3 linked regions of the Macaca mulatta genome follow. The protein of the gene in region 1 interacts with the protein of each later gene in a biochemical or structural test. Links are inferred from orthologs where the notes say so. Each region holds a gene or a part of one and is shown in the gene's direction. Other genes may lie near its edges.

Region 1 (4,113 bases):
TCACCGTGACTGGGCAAGGAATGGGTTTGGGGGTGGCTCTGTCCCCTGGGGTTTCTGGGTGATTTCCTGCTTCTGTCCCCAGGGAGTGCTCTCAGTCAGAGGCAGACAGATGAGGTAGAGGCTCAGATCTCAGGGTGGGGTGTGCAGGTATTGCTGTGTGTCCTTGGCCCCCCCTCAGTCCCTCTTTGAGCCAGGCTTTTTGCCTGTCCTGCCAGGAGGTTACACTCGGGTCTGATTTGACTGCGGCTCTCTGGTGTTTTTGTGGGGCTGTTCCACCCACTCCTCCATCTGTCAGGGAGGGTTAGGTATCTTCCCCTGAAGACAAGATTGTGTCTCCGAGGGACAGGACCTATAGTGGGAGGTCCCAGGTGGACTCTAGTACTGAAGGAGAAGGGGGTTTGGGTAGACGGGTGGGCAGGACGTGGCTCTGGCTGATTTACCTGTCCACCCTTTCCTGGCATTTGATGCCTGCTGACCCCAGGCCAGGCAGTAAGCAGGGAGGCACCTGGGTCCAAGCTAGCTCTGCCACTGTTTGCTTTGAGCCTCGGTGAGTCACTGTCTTCTGAGCCTCAGTTCCCTGTTCCTGGAATGAGGATACCAGTTTTTAGGATATGATCAGAGTCAAAGACATCAGATTGCACTCAGGAGATAGTCCTCTCAGCCACTATCTGGGCCCTCCTCAGGTCCTGGCATAGGAGGAAAATCCTAGGGAAATGGAAAACCTCAGAGGTGGGTCTGTAAGAAATACCAGAGTCCTCTCCTGAATGGTGAGAGTTTGCAGATTGTATCCCCTCATCTCTTTCCCCACCCCAGGTACAGCAGCAAGAACCCACAGTTCCGCCCTTAACCCCTTCCTGGGGATCCCTGCCCTGCTGCCTGCCTGTGTATCTGCCAGGTGTCAGACCTATCTGCCCTAGGTATTGTCAGTCTGCTTGGGGCTCGTTGCCTCTCCTGCTGTCTCTCTTTGCTGCCTTCCTGTGTCTGTGGTTGGGTTCCAATCTCTCTCGCCACTTGATAAGTGCCTGACTTCACCTGTTGGGCACATGTCACATGTTAGGTGCCTGTTGTTCATGTCCCCTTCTGTCTCTGCCTGTTGGGTTTATGTCTTCATCTGTCTCTGCCTATTGGATACATGTCCCCTTCTGTCTCTGCCTATTGGATACCTGTCCCCTTCTGTCTCTGCCTGTTGGGTTTATGTCCCCTTCTGTCATTGCCTGTTGGGTTCGAGTCACCATCTGTCTCTGCCTGTTGGATACATGTCCCCCTCTGTCATTGCCTGTTGAGGTTTGTTTTTTTTTTTTCCCAAGGCAGTCTCGCTCTGTTGCCCAGGCTGGAGTGCCCTGACGCGATCTTGGCTCACTGCAACCTCTGCCTCCCGGGTTCACGCCATTCTCCAGCCTCATCCTCCCAAGTAGCTGAGACTATAGGCGCCTGCCACCACGCCTAGCTAATTTTTGTATTTTTAGTAGAGACAGGGTTTCACCATGTAGGCCAGGATGATCTCGATCTCCTGACCTCGTGATCCACCTGCCTTGGCCTCCCAAAGTGCTGGGATTACAGGCGTGAGCCACCGTGCCCAGCCTGCCTGTTGGGTTTATGTCCCCTTCTGTCATTGCCTGTTGGGTTGGAATTCTCTTCTGTCCCTGCCTATTGGAGATGTGTTCCTTCTGCCTTTGCCTGTTGGGTTCATGTCCTCATCTGTCTTTACCTATTAGGTACATGTCCCCTTCTGTCTCTGCCTGTTGGGCTTGTGCCCCATCTGTCTCTGCCTGTTGGGTTTGTATCCTTATCTGCCTACACACATTGGGGATGAGTCTCTGTCCACCTCTGTCTGTTAGATATGAGTCCCCTCCTGCTTCCCCTTATTGGGTACACATCTCCATCTGTTTTCTATTGGATATGAATTCCTCCTGCCTCTGCCTGTTGGGTGCGTGTCCTTATCCATCCCTGCCTGTTGGGTATGTGTTCTCTCCTGCTCCTGCCTGTTGGATGCCATTCTTCTTTTTTTTTTTTGAGACAGAGTCTCGCTCTGTTGCCCAGGCTGGAGTGCAGTGGCATGATCTCGGCTCACTGCAAGCTCCACCTCCCGAGTTCACACCATTCTCCTGCCTCAGCCTCCCGAGTAGCTGGGACTACAGGCGCCCGCCACCACACCCAGCTAATTTTTTGTATTTTTAGTAGAGACGGGGTTTCATTGTGTTAGCCAGGATGGTCTCGATCTCCTGACCTCATGATCCGCCTGCCTCGGCCTCCCAGAGTGCTAGGATTACAGACATGATGGATGCCATTCTCATCTGTTTCCACCTGTTGGGTGCCTGCTTCTGCCTGTTGAGTGTCTCTCTTCATCTGCCTCCACATATGAGGCACCTGTCTTTGCCTGTTGGTTACCTGTTTGCTGTTGGGTACCTCGCTGCTGTTGGGTACCTGTCTGCTCAGCAGCTGCACTGGCAGAGGGCTTTCCCTTTGCAGACCCACAGGGAGGATGGGGGAATGGCCAGAGGGCAGCCCTCGGGCACTGAGGAGTGGGGGAGAGAGAGGAAGGGAACGTGGTGAGGGTGTAGGCCTGGTGCTGGGAAACCACAGGCCCTGAGTGATTGGCTCCCTTGGGCCGGGCCCAGCCCCCGCCCTCACCCTGCACATCCGCCTTGGTCCCGGCCACCACCGCGGCAGCCCCGGACTCTGCCTGCTCCTGCCATGGTGCCGTGGCCCTGCTGGGCGGATGGAGCAGGATCCCAAGCCGCCCCGTCTGCGGCTCTGGGCCCTGCTCCCCTGGCTGCCCAGGAAGCAGCGGCCCAGGATCAGCCAGACCTCTCTGCCTGTCCCTGGCCCTGGCTCTGGCCCCCAGCGGGACTCGGTGAGTGTACCCAGATGTCTGGTCCTGGCCTGGCTGTGTCCCTCGCAGCAGGTGCCTGGGAAGCCAGCTTAGCGTAATCTGGCTTTGGGCTGTCCTGGCCCAGGCCTGGCCCTGCGGGGTGACTGGACCCTGCCCAGACTTGCTTCCTGGGTAAGTGAGGAGGTACTTCAGGGCTTCAAGGCAATGGCAGCAGATTAGAGGGAGGGTAGAGTCCTGGAATGGCTAGGACGTGGCAAGGGGCTTCTAGTAGGTTTGTATGAAGGAAGTTTGGGAAGATGAGCCATGCAGTCTCTGGCCTTAATTCTGACCTGCCCCAGGCCAGCACTTACCAAGTTGATGGGGGAGTTTGGGTGACTCTTGGGTCTTTGTGCACGTCAGCCCTGTCCTACTGACCAGAGGGATCCCCTCATCCCATCCTGACCAGGAACGAAGGCCCAGCTCTACCTCCCCATATGAGAACAAACCTACTTCCTATTGTGGCAACCCTAAAGCAGCAGGGGGAGGGAAGCCCCACAGGCAGACCTGGGGCAGGTCTCTGGGTCTCAACCGGAGCCTGAGGTTGACTCAGCCTGGCCATGCCTGGGCATCCCTTTGGGCCTAATCAGGCCAGAGCATCGGGAGCAATAGGAGTGGTGCCTCTTCTGTTTGACCTCCCCAGCCTTTGAGGCCCTTTTGAAATCAATGACCTTGGAGGCTGGCCCTTCAGGGAAGTCGTCTGTTGGGCCTTTAGGTCTCATCTGCTGAGGTCTGGTGGGAATGGCCTTGGGCAGGGGAACTCCTGCTGCCCGGATGGGGCCCACCATGCCCACCAGCTCTGTCCCTCCATCAGGATGAGGGCGTCCTCAAGGAGATCTCCATCACGCACCACGTCAAGGCTGGCTCTGAGAAGGCTGATCCATCCCATTTCGAGCTCCTCAAGGTTCTGGGCCAGGGATCGTTTGGCAAAGTGAGTCATGAGCCCGTGGCTGTGAAGGCAACCCTCGTCATGTTAGAGGTGGGGGTCAGTGGTCACCTAGGGGCCCAAAGGATCAGAGGTCACCTTGGTACCCAGGGAGAACAAAAAGACCAGCTTGGGGCTCAGAGAAGATGGAGGTCAGCCTGGGCGCAGACCTCTCCCATCTTCTGCCCTTGCTTCCCTCTCTGCCTTCTCAGGTCTTCCTGGTACGGAAAGTCACCCGGCCTGACAGCGGGCACCTGTATGCTATGAAGGTGCTGAAGAAGGCGACGCTGAAAGGTGAGTAGGGACACCTCCCTGTGCA
Region 2 (4,013 bases), on another chromosome or scaffold:
TTCATTTTTTTCTGATTATCTTCATTATAGCTATTTAGTGTGGCTTCATTTATTTTCTTTCTAAAATAGTTTATCAAGTTATTTATTTTCTGAATAATAATTAGCTATGTTAATTTAGAAGAGGTTCCTAAATGCTTTATGTACATAAAAGTTAATAATTAGAAAGTCTAATCATTATTTTTTTATAAATATGGAGTATATTTCATAACTTTCAAAAATGATGTTTTTATGTGTTGATCAACCTGTAGGCCAAATTTTTTGATCCTCAGTTTATATTTCTCTTTCAGATTGGAAGCTGGAAAAATGTAACTGTGCTGTTTCTCCATTCCAATAAACTTGAGACACTTCCAGAGGAAATGGGTGATATGCAAAAATTAAAAGTCATTAATTTAAGTGACAATAGGTTTGTGATACTATATTCATCAGTTGGTTTATAGGAGATGTTGGTTAGATGAAATTAAGTTTCATATGATATATAATAGAATAACTAGTGCTTGTTTCTCTTTAAATATACATAGTAAGTCCTCAATGTTACTGATAGGCTCTTGGAAAGTGTGACTTTCAGTGAAACAACATATAATGAAATCACTTCTTATAATGAAATCACTTCTTTCGTTCATCAGTGTTTTAAGAAAATGACATTATTTGAGGACCTGCCATACACAGTTTTGCAAAAGCTGTGGTTTCCAGGAACTTATCAGTAACATTAAATGAGGTCTTAAGTGTGTATTTTTGTTTTTTCTTTAAATACAAGGAGTGGTCTAATTTTTCTGATGTTAATTTATCATACGGTGGTTGTTACTGTTCATTGTGGGTTGACTTAGCTATATATTCCTTATTCTCTCCTTACAGTTACCTTTTATTCCTAAAGTCACATCTTCACCTTAATATTGCTATTTAACAAAACAATTTTGGAATGTATCTAGTCTGTTGCTAATATTTTTCTGGACAGAAATCTGGTTTCAGCAAAGCCAAGATGCAGAGCAAATTGATCACTAAGGTTGTAAATTGGAACAATGTTTAAGTTAAAAACAGAATGTCCATACTTTTTCCTGAGGTAAACATACTAATGATGATTCAACTGCATTTGTAGAGTGTTTTCACTTTTTGCTTTCATAGTGTCTTGTGAAGTCTTCAAAACAGCTCTATGAAATAGTATAATAGTATTGCCATTTTATGTAGGAGGGTTTTAAGACTCAGATTTAAGGTGACTCACATAGCTTATAAGGTAGAGCTTTAATTTAAACTCAATTTTTTTACTAATTATGTTATTCTAACTTCTGTTTTATTTAAAAGAACCACTGCTTTCTTAAGTCAGTGTTTGACCCTTTAATTCCTACAACTCACAGTAGGTTGTGCAAATTACCTTGAAAGAAAGCCATGGAAGACTAGTTAGGCATAAGATAGCAAGGCTGAATTGGATAATTCCCTCTTAAATAGGGTATTTTCATTTAGTATTCTAATGAGTATTTATAGTTGACCCTCTGTATTTGTGGGTTCTGCAAGTGTGGATTCAAACAACTTCAGATCGAAAATATTTGGAAGAAAATTGTGTCAGTACTGAACGTGTACCAACATTCCCATTGTTATTCCCTAAACAGTACGGTATACCAACTGTTTACATAGCATTTGTATTCTAATAGGTATTATAAGTACTCTAGAAATGATTTAAAATATATGGGGGGGATGTACATAGGTTATATGCAAATACTATACAATTTTATATAAGGGATTGAGCATCTGCAGATTTTGGTGTCTGAGGGAGATCCTGGAACCAGTCTTCCACAGATACTGATGAATGACTGCACTTTGTTTTTACTCATTATCATCTTAGGATAGTCTTCTAGATTACATAACTGCTGGCTCACAAATAGAGAGCAGTGCAGTTTTTATATCAAACTATCACTAAGAGTGCTTCCTATAACAGTTTGTTCTGAGTACAAATAAACCAAAGCAGTTTTATGAGACATTCCTTAATGTGTTCTTTTCTCTAAGGCAGGGACAATTAACTGTTATTTTTAAAGGTTATTCTGTTGTCCATTTTCTTGCCAGGTGAATTGATTCAATTAAAGAATTAATATTTTTGAAACGAATTCTTGTAAAACTAGATATTTTGTCTTATATCCTGTACAAATAATTATATGGGACTTTTCTAGATTTTTTTCTCCTATTTTCATGTGCAACTATACAGCATTTTTCAGAAAACCTTTGAGCCCTCATTCATTTTAAATCTTCTCAAATTTTAAAGTTTAATTTTTGTTTGTATTTTTTCCTACAGATTAAAGAATTTGCCCTTTAGCTTTACAAAGCTACAGCAATTGACAGCTATGTGGCTCTCAGATAATCAGGTGGGCATTCTGATTTTATAAGTTAATGGAGTTCCTATTTGTGTTATATAATTTTGCACTGTGATTTACATAGGGTCATTTAAGAGCAGCTATACAGTGGTACACGTGTAAATGTATCTTTTATATAAGAAAAATCTCGAACTATTTAGAAGGACATAACTTTTTATAAAATAGGTATCGCTTTATAAGTAATGAATTCTGTTGGACTTGCCTGATTTCTCCTAAATCTGTGAAAATATTGAGAGATTAGGAAGTCAGACTCAAACTCTGACTTTAATAGCATTATCTCATACACTTGTCATATTTTATAGTGAGAACACTTAAAGTCTACTTGGTAATTTCAAGACTATAACAGTGTTATTAACTGTAGTCACCACGTTGTACAGTAGAGCTCTTGAACTTATTCCTCCTAACTTGACTTTTGTACCCTTTGACCAGTATATCCCAATCCATGCTCCAGCCCACCCCTGCCAGCTCCGAAACCCACCATTTTACTCTTAGTTTCTTTGAGTTTATCTTTTTTAGATTCCTCATATAAGTGAAAGTGTGTGACATTTATCTTCTTGTTCCTGCTTATTTCACTTAACATAATGTCCTCTAGGTTCATCCATGTTGTTGCAAGTGACAGGATTTCCTGAATAGTATTCCATTGTGATTGTATGTGTATTTGTGTACACACACTACATTTTGTTTATTCATTCATCCATTCGTGGGCACTTAGGCTGATTTGCTATTGTGAATTCTGCTGCAGTGAACATGGGAGTGCAGACATCTCTTCAACATACTGATTTTATTTCTTTTGAATATATATCCAGTAATGAGATTGCTGGATTGTATGATAGTTCCATTTTTAATATTTTGAGGAACCTCCATAATATATTCCCACCAACAGTGTGTAAGGATTCCTTGTAAGTTGTTATAACAAAATAGAATATACAATTTACTGATCTTCTTAATTAAAAAATTAATGCTTGTTATTTAATGTTGAGCAATACTTTATAATAATTTATTTAAAGCTCTATTTTCCCAGTGTTGGATACACTGGTCTCATATGATACTTATGAACTCTGCAGCCAAATTTTCTTGGGAAACTGTATTGTATTCTAATTCTGGATTATATTAACAGCCCTGAGGTGTTAATGCAGTAAAGAAACCCACAAGGATTCTTCATAACTTTTTAACTGGGTATCCTTCTCTGTTCTGTTCTGTCTTGTTCCATGCTGTACTTTTCTTTCTTTTTTTTTTTTTTTTTTTTTTTTGAGACAGAGTCTCTCTCTGCTGCCAGGCTGGAGTGCAGTGGCGTGATCTCAGCTCACTGCACCCTCCACCTCCCGGGTTCAAGCAATTCTCCTGCCTCGGCCTCCTGAGTAGCTGGGACTACAGGCATGTGCCACCACTCCCAGCTAATTTTTGTATTTTTAGTAGAGATGGGGTTTCACCATGTTGGCCAGGATGGTCTCAATCTCTTGACCTCATGATCCGCCCGCCTCAGCCTCCCAGAAGTGCTGGGATTACAGGCGTGAGCCACCACACCCTGCCTTGGGGCCCGTTTCTTACCTGGCCCTTACTGTTATCCCAAAAGCCTTAAATTTATGTTAATCTATGGTTATGAATAAGACTGTATTATTTACCTGCTTTGCAAATTTAGAGAGAATATTAAAATGA
Region 3 (3,542 bases), on another chromosome or scaffold:
CCCCATCATCCCTGAAGCAGCCACAGCAGGGATCCATACCCCTTTTTACAGATGGGAATGGAGCCCTCAGATGGAGCACACCACGCTTGAGGTCAGGAGGCTCTGCAGTGGTGCAGGGTAGCAGAACTATCCCTCTAGGGGCCAGTCATTCCCTGTGCTTCTCTCCCACCACCAGAGGCTGGACTGATTCTCTGTGGATCCATGAGGCCCTGCCATGCCTGGGGCCAGGGTTGGTTCCCAGCTGGATGCTGCTCACCTGCCCTTCCCTAAATTGACTCGGTCTTATGGCCAGCGTGGACTAGACAGAAATAACCAACTCTGAGGGCAGCCCAGGGTCCTGGGTTGGCTTAGCCTTGGGACAGAGCTTGAGGGTAGAGTGAAGGTGTTGGGTGTGTGAGGTCCCCGCCCTTTGGCTGGGGTGCTGGGCCTGGACAACCTGGTAGTCACTACAGGCCCAGACGAATGGCTGTGGTTCTGTGTGTTTGGATCTAGTAGGAGAGATGTCAGAGGAAGTCTACCGAGAACCATGAGAAGTTGGAGGAGGGAGTTCGGGAGTTTTCCTTGGAGTTACTACCCACTCCTCTCCCCTTTCTGGCTAAGGTAGGATGCTGGAATTCTAGCATGCCCCATGGAGCAAATCTAACCCCCTTGTCTGCCTGGCAGGGGACACCATCGCCAGCGTCAATGGCCTGAACGTAGAAGGCATCCGGCATCGAGAAATTGTGGACATCATAAAGGCGTCGGGCAACGTTCTCAGGTATGTCTGGGAGCCGAGGTGCCTGAGAACTCCTGAGCTCAGCCTCTTGGTATTTCCTCAGCCTGTGGCTCACTCAGCCTTTGATTCCCCAACCTCAGACTGGAAACTCTATATGGGACATCAATCCGGAAGGCGGAACTGGAGGCTCGTCTGCAGTACCTGAAGGTAGGGAAACCCAGATAATGTCCAGCCTCCACCCTCCTCTTCCCAAGCCTCTGCCCTGTGGGGGGTCATTTATATCTGAATCTCCTTTAACTGAAGGTTTCTTCTGTCTACTCCCTGACCCCTTGTCTGTACCCACGTCCTGCTAGTTTCCTGCTAGCTTGTGACAGTGGGGTGGGGACTGTCTCTTGCAGCAAACCCTGTATGAGAAGTGGGGAGAGTACAGGTCCCTAATGGTGCAGGAGCAGCGGCTGGTGCATGGTAAGTAGATCCCGGGGTGTGAAGGGCCACTTGTTCTGCTCCAGATCCCCCATCTGTGCTACCCCCTCAGAACTGGCGGGTTCTAGTAAAGAAAGGTTTACTAGTAAACCTCCACAGTAAAGCAAGGTTTGTTGAGCTACTACTACTTTGGGTACTGCCGCACCCACATTTCTGGTTATTCTCACACTAGCCCTCTGCAGGTAGTGTCATCTTCACTGTACAGAGGGGAACACCAGGGCTCAAAGAGTGTGTGTCAATTCTTCCCGAGGCCCTTTTGTGCTAAGCGGCCCCCATAAGGATCTAAGTGATAATTCCTGATTTGCGGGTGAGGGAAGTAGGGTCTCAGGGTTGTGCCTGGCCAGGGCCACAGAGATAGATGGTCAGCAGGACGGAGTGGGGATGCCCCATCCATGCCCTCCGACCCTTTGCGGAGGACACTACGGCCCAGGCCTGACCCACCCCCCCACCTCTCCCGTCTCTGCGCAGGCCTGGTGGTGAAGGACCCCAGCATCTATGACACGCTGGAGTCGGTGCGCTCCTGCCTCTACGGTGCGGGCCTGCTCCCGGGCTCGCTGCCCTTCGGGCCTCTGCTCGCCGTGCCCGGGCGTCCCCGCGGAGGCGCCCGACGGGCCAGGGGCGACGCCGACGACGCCGTCTACCATACGTGCTTCTTCGGGGACTCCGAGCCGCCGGCGCTGCCGCCCCCGCCGCCCCCGGTCCGCGTCCTGGGTCCCGGCCCCGCTGAGACCCCTGCAGTGGGGCCGGGCCCTGGGCCGCGGGCCGCATTAAGCCGCAGCGCCAGTGTGCGGTGCGCAGGCCCTGGCGGGGGCGGAGGTGGGGGCGCGCCGGGCGCCCTCTGGACTGAGGCCCGCGAGCAGGCCCTGTGCGGCCCCGGCCTGCGCAAAACTAAGTACCGCAGCTTCCGCCGGCGGCTGCTCAAGTTCATCCCCGGACTCAACCGCTCCCTGGAGGAGGAGGAGAGCCAGCTGTAGGGGCGGGGGCGGGCAGGGAGGTATTTATTTATTTATTCGCAACAGACAGCGCTAAAAGAGGGGGAGGCCGAGCCAAGAGGACCCCAGGAGCCCAGAGCAGCGGGAGAAGGTCGTTGCTAGCCTCAGCCCACCGGGTCGATTCCTGGCTGGTGTCTGCTGAGGGAGTGGGGGGCCCAGACCCTTCTCTTCTCCTCCGCCAAACCACAGTGGGAGCTGGGGCAGGGGGAGAGCCAGGAAATCGGGGGCCAAAGATGGGGGTGCTTGCCTACAGTCTGCATCTGTAGTGCCTTGTGGGGTATCCAGGAACACCCTCCCAGCAGGGGATGGGGACCTTGTCCCATGAAGCCCTCTCCTTAGCTTTACTTGCTCCCCCGCCCTTAGCCTTGGGGAGAAATGGCCCGTGGTGGGCTGACCCCCCACCCTCCACACACAGTTCCATGACCCAGCGGGCCTCCAGGGGCATCGGGTGCTGGTCCTCCTCCCTCCTGGCCTCGACCCCTAAGGGCTTCGCCCCTCCCAGGGGCCTGTAACTAAGTCGGGTCCTGCCAGGCAGGGGGCCTGTGTTCTGTGCCCCTTGGGGGACAGGAACCGGCAAGTTCAGGTGGGGTGGGGACAGCACAGACTGTTCCACCGTTCTGCATATTGTTGCTTCTGAACCACAAACTGTATAAAATGGATGGTTTTTTGCATCTGTGTCAGTGTGGTGACTGCCTGAGGGGGAGGATTGGGCTGGGGCAAGCTCTGACTCCACCATCCCAACCCCCGCCCAACGCACACACGTCTTGTTTTCTTGCAGCCTGAAGCCAGGGAAATAGGCTGGGAGATTTAAACTTACATGTATGGGCCTGAGCTGGAGGCCCCACACTTCTTCACAGCTTGAGCCTCCCTCCCCAGATACCCAAGCAGGTGGTGGCCAAGGCTTACCTCAAGTCCTCAGCCATCCCTGTAGAAATACGTGTGCTTGGCACGCCTTCCCAGCTTCTGAGGTCTCCCTTGAGGGGCACAAGCCAGATCTGCAGGGACTTGAGGCATTACCACCTGGCCTGTGACGGGCCCAATCACGGATCACCCTGTTGTTCTAGCAGTCTTCAGCGGTTTCCCATAATCCCAGGATGAGATTGATTTTTTTTTTTTTTGAGGTGGAGTCTCCCTCTGTCACCCAGACTGGAGTGCAGTGGCCCCATCTTGGTTCATTATAACCTCCGTCTCCCGGGTTCAAGTGATTCTCCTGCCTCAGCCTCCCGAGTAGCTGAGATTACAGGCAGGCGCCACCACACCCAGCTAATTGTATTTTTAGTAGAGACGGGGGTTTCACCATGTTGGCCAGGCTGGTCTCGAACTCCTGACCTCAGGTGATCTGCCCGCCTTGG

What was found.
Region 2: the proteins of RPS6KA1 (region 1) and ERBIN interact in a test that uses a peptide from one of them, tested with the Homo sapiens proteins (2 studies listed by BioGRID and IntAct). The link is inferred for Macaca mulatta from reciprocal best matches to the Homo sapiens genes RPS6KA1 and ERBIN.
Region 3: the proteins of RPS6KA1 (region 1) and TAMALIN interact in a test that uses a peptide from one of them, tested with the Homo sapiens proteins (2 studies listed by BioGRID and IntAct). The link is inferred for Macaca mulatta from reciprocal best matches to the Homo sapiens genes RPS6KA1 and TAMALIN.

The regions. Positions count from the first base shown.
Region 1 is NC_133406.1:214,442,494-214,446,606, reverse strand, and holds the start of RPS6KA1 (ribosomal protein S6 kinase alpha-1), read left to right. Parts: upstream 1-1,652; 5' UTR 1,653-2,719; coding exon 2,720-2,854; intron 2,855-3,683; coding exon 3,684-3,800; intron 3,801-4,006; coding exon 4,007-4,088; intron 4,089-4,113. UniProt on the Homo sapiens protein: Serine/threonine-protein kinase that acts downstream of ERK (MAPK1/ERK2 and MAPK3/ERK1) signaling and mediates mitogenic and stress-induced activation of the transcription factors CREB1, ETV1/ER81 and NR4A1/NUR77, regulates translation through RPS6 and EIF4B phosphorylation, and mediates cellular proliferation, survival, and differentiation by modulating mTOR signaling and repressing pro-apoptotic function of BAD and DAPK1.
Region 2 is NC_133411.1:74,125,496-74,129,508, forward strand, and holds part of ERBIN (erbin), read left to right. Parts: intron 1-287; coding exon 288-403; intron 404-2,278; coding exon 2,279-2,348; intron 2,349-4,013. UniProt on the Homo sapiens protein: Acts as an adapter for the receptor ERBB2, in epithelia. By binding the unphosphorylated 'Tyr-1248' of receptor ERBB2, it may contribute to stabilize this unphosphorylated state.
Region 3 is NC_133416.1:59,194,544-59,198,085, forward strand, and holds the end of TAMALIN (protein TAMALIN), read left to right. Parts: intron 1-663; coding exon 664-757; intron 758-855; coding exon 856-922; intron 923-1,113; coding exon 1,114-1,180; intron 1,181-1,666; coding exon 1,667-2,172; 3' UTR 2,173-2,861; downstream 2,862-3,542. UniProt on the Homo sapiens protein: Plays a role in intracellular trafficking and contributes to the macromolecular organization of group 1 metabotropic glutamate receptors (mGluRs) at synapses.